Linked DNA regions of Danio rerio. The protein of the gene in region 1 purifies or fractionates together with the protein of each later gene. This does not show direct contact. Links are inferred from orthologs where the notes say so. Each region holds a gene or a part of one and is shown on either strand. Other genes may lie near its edges.

Evidence for each region.
Region 2: the proteins of gngt2a (region 1) and gnb2 purify together in Homo sapiens (affinity purification with western blotting; 3 studies listed by BioGRID and IntAct, with this or other methods). This does not show direct contact. The link is inferred for Danio rerio from reciprocal best matches to the Homo sapiens genes GNGT2 and GNB2.

Annotation. Positions count from the first base shown.
Region 1 is NC_133178.1:21,838,075-21,842,546, reverse strand, and holds the start of gngt2a (guanine nucleotide-binding protein G(I)/G(S)/G(O) subunit gamma-T2a), read right to left. Parts: upstream 2,888-4,472; 5' UTR 2,744-2,887; intron 148-2,743; exon of another isoform or gene 134-147; 5' UTR 128-133; coding exon 44-127; intron 1-43. UniProt on the Homo sapiens protein: Guanine nucleotide-binding proteins (G proteins) are involved as a modulator or transducer in various transmembrane signaling systems.
Region 2 is NC_133180.1:39,184,424-39,188,257, reverse strand, and holds part of gnb2 (guanine nucleotide-binding protein G(I)/G(S)/G(T) subunit beta-2), read right to left. Parts: intron 2,672-3,834; coding exon 2,633-2,671; intron 2,554-2,632; coding exon 2,447-2,553; intron 1-2,446. UniProt on the Homo sapiens protein: Guanine nucleotide-binding proteins (G proteins) are involved as a modulator or transducer in various transmembrane signaling systems.

The DNA.
Region 1 (4,472 bases):
CACTTTTTGACCTACTAGTTTAATTACCAAGCAGAGAACTTACAGGCTCTCTGGTGTTTTTTGCCTCCTTCTGCAGCTGTTCCAGCTCCATTTTCAGGATATCCTTATCGGACATATCCCGGGCCATCTTGCCCTGAGGAAAGAAAGCTGCAGTCACACTCATGTTAAACCACACACATTGTACATTTACAAATATCTTAAAAAAAAAAAAAAAAAAAAAAAAAGAAAAAGAAAAAGAAAAAAAGGATGTAAAATATTGTTCAGCACGGCAAGTTACAGTCATTTTAAAGATGTATAACACATGGGACAATGGGACAACTGTCTAATTAACTATTTAATTGTTCAGAGGGGAGCAGAACAGGTTCAACATATTTTGTGCAATACAAATTAATTAGGGAAAAAAAACGGCCACAATACAGTTTACAGAGTAAAGTGATGGCTCTTTTTTTGTTGTAAACAGACAGATTTTTTTTTTTTTTTTTTTTTTTTTTTAGTTTTTTCATAACTGAACAATTAAACCTGTTACCCATAAAGTTAGGGTATATAATGGTGCTTAAAAGGATTGTTCGCCTAAAAACAAAAACTTCCTTAATATTTACTCTAAACTTTTATTAATTTCTTCTGTTGAAAACAATGGAGTGTTGGGAAAAAAACATAAAAAAATGGTATGAAAGTCTACAGCGGTTTTTCTTTTAATTCTTCAGAATATCTTCCTTTGTCTTCAGCATTAGCAACAACAAGAAAGTTCAAACACATGGAAGATATATAAATAATGCCAACATTTTCATTCATAGCTGAACTGTCCATTTTATAACCTTGAACTACAATTTTTTGCAATACTGCAAAAGCATTCTTCGTCACAAGTTTGTCTGCAGATGCTGGGTAAAATAAACACTAAAAGTCACTATGACACCAACAACTTTTGTTTCTTTTAACACTTCTGACATTTGCAGATATATTATCAACAGATTAAATTTATTATTTTTTTTTCAGTTCTTTGCACAGCACCAAAAAACAAAAAGAGAATACATTTCTGGGTTAATATCCTTGTTTTTATATTGTTAGATGTTTTATCAATGTTTGGATGACTGCAACACAATCTAGAGCATCTCTGATTTCAAAGCAGCTACTATATATCATTTGGCATCCATAAATATTGTAAACCACACTATCAAGTTTCCCCTGAATGGACTTTTTAGACCACAAAGTTAAAACTGAGTTAATCTTTTCCCTACTCCAATTGATGCCTTTTCTATCACCATATAACAATCTTTCCTTAAACACTGAGACAATAGTTCAAATGCAGTGCACAGTGTTTCCATGACTGTCCAAATTATGTAAATTTGAGGCTCAAGATTCGGTCTCAATTGTTAAACATCTAGCCATATCACATCACTTCACACTGTACAAATTTCACTGCAATGTGGTGTTAATGGAGCAAAACGTTTCATAACCCTGGGTGAAAAGGGATGTTAAAAAGGTAATGAGAAAATCGGCACTGCCACTTTAGCTCTCAAAAAAACGTTAATGTAAAGTTTCGACCAGCGTGGTCTTCATACGGTTAACCTTATAAGGACCATGTAGGTTGAAACGTTGTTAGATTAAAAAAATTGAGAGCTAAAGACTAGTCTTTGACAATTCTAGATGTGCGCACAGTTCTGTTTCCTGGTTGCTTAATATTACGGGATGTTAACCATACTTCATACAAGTGTAAAACGTTCCTTAAATTGATAATTCATCCAAGAAATACAATTTCCATACCATTCACTCATGAATTTCTTTAATCTGTTGAGAACAAAACAAGATATTCTGAAGAAACCAGCAGCCATTGACATCCATAGTACTGTAGGTCATGAATTAAATGGCTGCTGCTTTCTAACAATCTTCAAAATAACATACCTTGTGTTCATCAGAAAAAAAAGAAACCCTTATGAACTATAATATTGAGTCAACAAAGAGAGAATTTACATTTTTGGGTGAACTATTCCTTTGACCAAGGGCAAAAAATTAATTATAAGCATGTTGTAGTCCAGTAGGATATTTTATTTTACTTCTAAGGGAACAAAACTCCTAAGTGCACAAACTTGCCATCTAACTTACATCACCAAGAACAAGGCCTAAATATTAAGAGTCTACAAAGTGTTCTTGACTATCCAGCAAGCATTTTTGTCTCTAAAAGATGTATAATAGATGTCTAATAGACGTCTGAACATGGCCATCTTGGCTGAAACAAAACTAAATTAGGGCTGTCAGTGAAAAGTAATAGACCTCTTAAAATAGGCCAAAACTAGACTAGACCAGAAACGAATGACTACACATATAAAGTCTATCTATTTGACGACTAGTATAGTTTTGGGCTATTTTTAGATGTTTCACAGACAGCCCAAGATTAGCCTTGTCTAAGCCAAACTTTCTATGTTTAGATGTCTATTAGACATCTATAAAACACAAAATTGTTAGCTGGGATGTCACTTAAAATGACGCAGGTGACCATTAGCATTTCCCAGGTAAGCATAATGTTTAAACATGTACTGTAACTCAGCACATTTAGCATGGAAAAGCATACTAATGTGATTAACAATGATAAATCAGTTTTACCATGAATAAGTTGCAATTCAATTTGATGGCATTCATAACATAGCATTAGTTACATGTTTACTATCACAAGGCTACTTTTCTTGGTGTATAACTATTATATTGGTATACAAATAGTATGACAAGAGCACTGTTATGTTTCGCTTACCTATTGGTCAGTGGGTCAGCCGATGGAGGCAACAGGTCACTATCTGCACTTTAAGGGACCATGCGTAGGGTTTGTGGTCTGGCGATGAACTGAGCTCTTGGGGTTGATGCTGTTGTCTCTTCAGGATCTTCTCCAGATGGTCAGAGGTGAAGTGGGGGTGGAGACTGATCCCCAACAAACACACTTCCTTCATCCAGATTTCTGATCAGCTTAAGTCATCTTGGTAATTAAGGAGGTCAAATCACCCTGAAGCAGGACAGAGTGGTTTACATGCCAGTTTGTACTGGCTGTTCTTTTTTACCAGATTTGCTTTTATGTAAAATCTTTTGTCATGGAAAACTGTGGATTTTCTTTAGAGGACATTTCTGTACATGTTAAAGGTCAATATGTCAACTCAAAGACAATAACATACCTCTGTAGACTTTAGGTGAGTGGCTCTGTTTTAAGAAGCAGATGGCCTAGACTTGACTGACTGCATGTGTGAGGCATCTTATAAACAAGTCAATCAGCCTGTTAAAACCCTTTCAAGCAGACTGATATGGAGATTTTTAATGACTGTAGGATGAATGGGATTAATGAATTGTATAATAATTATGTGACCCTGTACCATAAAACCAATTATAAGGGTCTCTTTCTTTTTTTATACATCGGGTTTCCATTGATATATGGTTTATTAGTATAGTACAACATTTGGCTGATATATAACTATTTGAAAATCTGGAATCTGAGGATTAAAAAACATCAAAATATTGAGAAGACATCTTTTTAGCAATGCTTATTACCAATTAACCATTTAGTTTTGATATACTTATAGTAGCACATTTAAAAAATATCTTCATGAAACATGATAAATAAATCAATTTATAATGATAATAATTTCCAATACAATATTTTTGTATCCATAAAATCTATATTTTATTTAATGCCAAAAATGTACCTGTGCAACATAAGACTGGTTTTGTGGTCAGAGCAAACAAATTTTATGCATTTATTTTAATACCAGGAAAGAAGTGCAAATGTAAATAAATTATGTAAATATATATATACATGTACACAGTATTTACTTAACATTCAAGTGTATACATTGCACATTTTCTACGTTAAAAAGACTTTTATTAAAAAGTTAATTATATTAGAAATTAAAATCCTCACCCTCAATTTGTTCCAAACTTGTAGAAATTTTTATTATTAACGATACCATACAGTCGTGCACAGAAAGGATCAAACACAGTGACAGAACCACTTAGAGAATGTACTCGTTTTAACTGTCACTGAGTCACTGACAGAGAAAGAAACATCAAGTGTTGTCTAGTATTAAAAAACACTTCTTATCTATTATCATCATTCAGATCGTGAAATATGTGAATTTGTCTGTAAGTTTAAAAACATATATTTATGTGTGGCATTTAATTAGAAAAGTGGCAGTTTATTTATTTAATACATGGAAACAAAAAAATGCACTTGAATATGGAAAGTGTTTTACTACAGTAAACAGGTGGGTTGAGCCTATTTGGCTTATTCAGAACTCAAATATGCTGGTCTATGCAATACAGTGGGATACTAGTATACAACCCATATTAAACAGACATTTTAAGTGTATTACTATTAAATCACTACTTATAAATGTAATATTAGGCTTTGTATATATGAAAATCCTAAAATCGCCCATTTAGGATGTAAAAAAAACAAACAAACAAAAAACAATCACCACTCAAATCTCCGACAACAC
Region 2 (3,834 bases), on another chromosome or scaffold:
ACCACTTGAGGGCGAGCAATCATTGAGTAAACGTTCATTTTTATGTGAACTATCCATTTTAGGTTAATGTTTTAATGACAAATGTAACAAAAACATAAAGTTATCCTTTCATACTTCCATAATGAGATTGTAATACACTTCTTGTCTTCATTTTTGTCATTATGCGACAGGAGAACTCAGACAATTCAAACATTTGGCTTCCTGAGATTTCTAAATTATCATAAGGAATTAAGGGGAATCATTTTGTTTTGTTTGTACACCATCTTTAGTTTCTTCAGAATGTCAGTAACTGTTCACTTCTGATTTATGAATCACCAAGAACCAGAGTTTCAGCTGAAGATATTCTTAAATGTTCTAAGACTCTAAGTGCGTCCCAAATCCCATACTTCTGCACTATTCCAGGGGCTCTCAACCTTTTTCACATTGAGGCCCACTTTTTTCTCCGAAAATTTTTGCAAGGCCTAAACTGACTGTCTTTATTTTAAAGCTTTATTTATTAGCAAAACATTTCTTTTGCCTTTTATCATTCCCTTATTTTATAAAAAAAAAAAAAACATTGTCCATTTGTATGTGTGTGTGTTTACTGTATGTATGTATGTATGTATGTATGTATGTATGTATGTATGTATGTGTGTGTGTGTGTGTGTGTGTGTGTGTGTGTGTGTGTGTGTGTGTGTGTGTGTGTGTGTGTGTGTGTGTGTGTGTGTGTGTGTGTGTGTGTGTGTGTGTGTGTGTGTGTGTGTATGTATGTGTATGTATATGTATGTATATATATATATATACTATTTCTTTTTTAAATATAATATAAAATATAATAATATAGATTTTAATATTTTTTTAAATGCTCAGACCGGTTCAAAGCTCCTGAATTTTTAATTCAGTTATTCTTTACAACTGCAGAGTATTTGGGCCTTTTCTTCAGTAAAGGAACCTGACAGGACTACATGAGATGGCAAAAACGCTGCTGCTGCTTTGAATCAGACTAATTTCTATTCATCTATTGATCTATAGCCATTAAAATAAACAACCTAACCATAACCCTACATGTAAAATACATTTAAAAAAATTCAATCTGTTGAAACATTGATCTGAAGGTGGTTTGGTTTGTAGCTGGATGTTGAACAGTGAACAGCTGTTCACTACTGAAGCACCACCGAGTTACCGCTCCTGTACGGTGGCGCGTCAGTTATAAAACACCCCCAAGATGTTAACTTGGACAACTATGCAGATATTTTGAATTGTTCACAAAGACAGAGCATGCATAGTTTGTGAATTAACGGACTGGTGCAATTCTGAAACAGTATGAGTCGCAGACATGAGGCACGCGCGAGCTGGGTTTAATAACTGTCATCTTTGTTACCTTTACCATTGTGTGACTGAGTTTGAATTATGTTCAATCACAGAAAACGGGAAATGGCATTACTACTATCATTTTTATATGACCTGTTTAATAATGAAATTAAATAATTAAAGTATAATATTTAGGTAAATTCTAATTATCTCACGGCCCACCTGCAGGATCACTGAGGCCCACTAATAGGCTGCGGCCCACCGGTTGAGAATCCCTGCACTATTCTACACCATTTTGTTGTATAAACAGTGTAAATAGTTTGTAATTACACTGATGATGCCCTTATCCAACCGGTAAACAGGAGTGTGGAATGTTGGACACTTCAAGCACTCAGCTGCAGCTTTGCTTACGTAGCGGAAGGGACACAGCATCGGGCACTGATGTTGGATTACTTTATTTATTTTAGATTGTGAAAGCAAAATTTTCCTATGAAAGTGCTTATAGCACCTCCCGAGTCCTGATGGTGATTGTGGTTCTACACATGGCAAGTATTCTTAGGTAGTTTGGTCATTTATTTCACTAATTTGGCAACGTTTGAATATCTGTTTAGTTTTAAAAAACCATTAGTGTTCCCTTTGGGAACACACTACATTCATATGATATGCTGTTGAGTGTGTAAGTGCTTAAGTACATAGAGTATAGTATGCCATTTAGGACGCTGCTCATGTCTGATGTTCTCCATCTTGGATGACCTGACTCGGGTGAGTATTTATTTTAATTACTATTATTCATTATTATTATTATTTCTACAGTATACATCTTTAACATTCACATTTTCATGTCAATCATGAAAATCAACTGTACATGCACTATTCCCAAGTCCACACAGACACAAAAACAAAGTCTTTAAAGAAAGTCATTTCAATTATGACTGTAGTGTGGGCTAAGATGATTAACTAACAAAGATAGTTTGCAGGTCAGTGTGTCCTGTTCATTGCATTGCATACTGTGCCAACAACATGTGCAAAACAAAAACCCAAGTCACGAGCCACTGAATCATACTCTTCTGCTACTTTTACATTTTTGCTTGTCTTTGATGCCAGGTGTGTTTGTGAACCGATGCAGGAGATATGAGAAGACAGCGGACAGACGTACCTGGAGTCTGTGCCCCAGTGCATGGCGTAGATTTTCGCCAAATGGCCCCGCAGTGTGCGCCTCGTCCTCATCTGTATCCTCCCCACTGGGTCCAGACCTGCTGTTATCTACCACACGCACAAACACTACATGAGTGCAATGCCACAGACCTCTGGAGGATTACACATACATCTAATTTCATCTCACCTGTGTAAGTGTGGAGTCTCCGCATGCTTTCCTGGCATCCTGAGGGACAGAAGACAAGGTTAACCAAATCACTGTACTGTCACTATTTGAACGTGGAGGTAAGGCCTGTTTCTAAAGTAGGCAAAATATCCCAGTACTAATGGAAGCCAATATGGCATTTTAAAAAATTTGTTTACAGCAGTGGTTCTCAAAGTAGGGGTCGTGGGACAATGAGGGGAGGGGGTCGCTTGGTGATTTAAAAAAAAATCTCATATATTTTATTAAACTATTATTATTATCATATTTTAGCAATTATTATATTTTATTTGTGACCCCTGGGGTTATTATGCTAGATTCACATCACAGCAATAGCGTTAGAGCAGTAGATTGATTTTACGGTACAATATTAAACTTTGACACCTTTCTGGCACTCACATACATTAAAAATTAAGGCCACGACAGAACAAGGAGGATGATCTCCAACTCTCCAAAATTAAAGCAAGAATAGTCTTTTCATATAAATATGATGCTCACCATTCTTATTAAGTGAGGTTAATATTAAATTAAACAAATCAATAATGATTGTAAAAAAGATATCGTTGTAGGACTGTGTTTTTGTGTTGTCAATATGCTTATGTTTATATCGTTTCTATTAGTGTGTGTGCACCATTGTGTGCAATATTTGTATGCTTATAACCACCTCTGAGCATAATAGGGGTCGCAAGCCCGTGGAGTTGTTATTTTAGGGGTTGCGGGCTGAAAAGTTTGAGTACCCCTGGTTTACAGGGCCCAAACATCTCTAAAACCACAATCCTGAATAAGCTTATGGCTTTGATTAAGAACTTTGGTGCCATACCATGGCTTCAGCAGGTACAATGATGGTACGCAACGCCTGAAAAAAGTCCCAAGCTAGGTTACAATTTCACTGCGCCTGCTGCATCTATGGTACAGCACCAAAGTTCCTTATAAAGACATATCAACCTAGAAAATAGCAACTTTTCATGTTTTTCCCCTGTGCTTTAAATAGGAAAATTATCAAAACTCTGTTTTGAAATTTTTTAGATGCTAATGGTCTAATCCAATTTAATTATTTATGCTAAGCTAAGCTAAAAGTGCTCACATCAGACCCGGAGATTGGATGAATAGATTAAAAAATGGTAAAACTCAACTGTTAGGGAAGTTGTAAAATGAGGCTACTTCAAAATAAAATGGAGCGCTCCTTT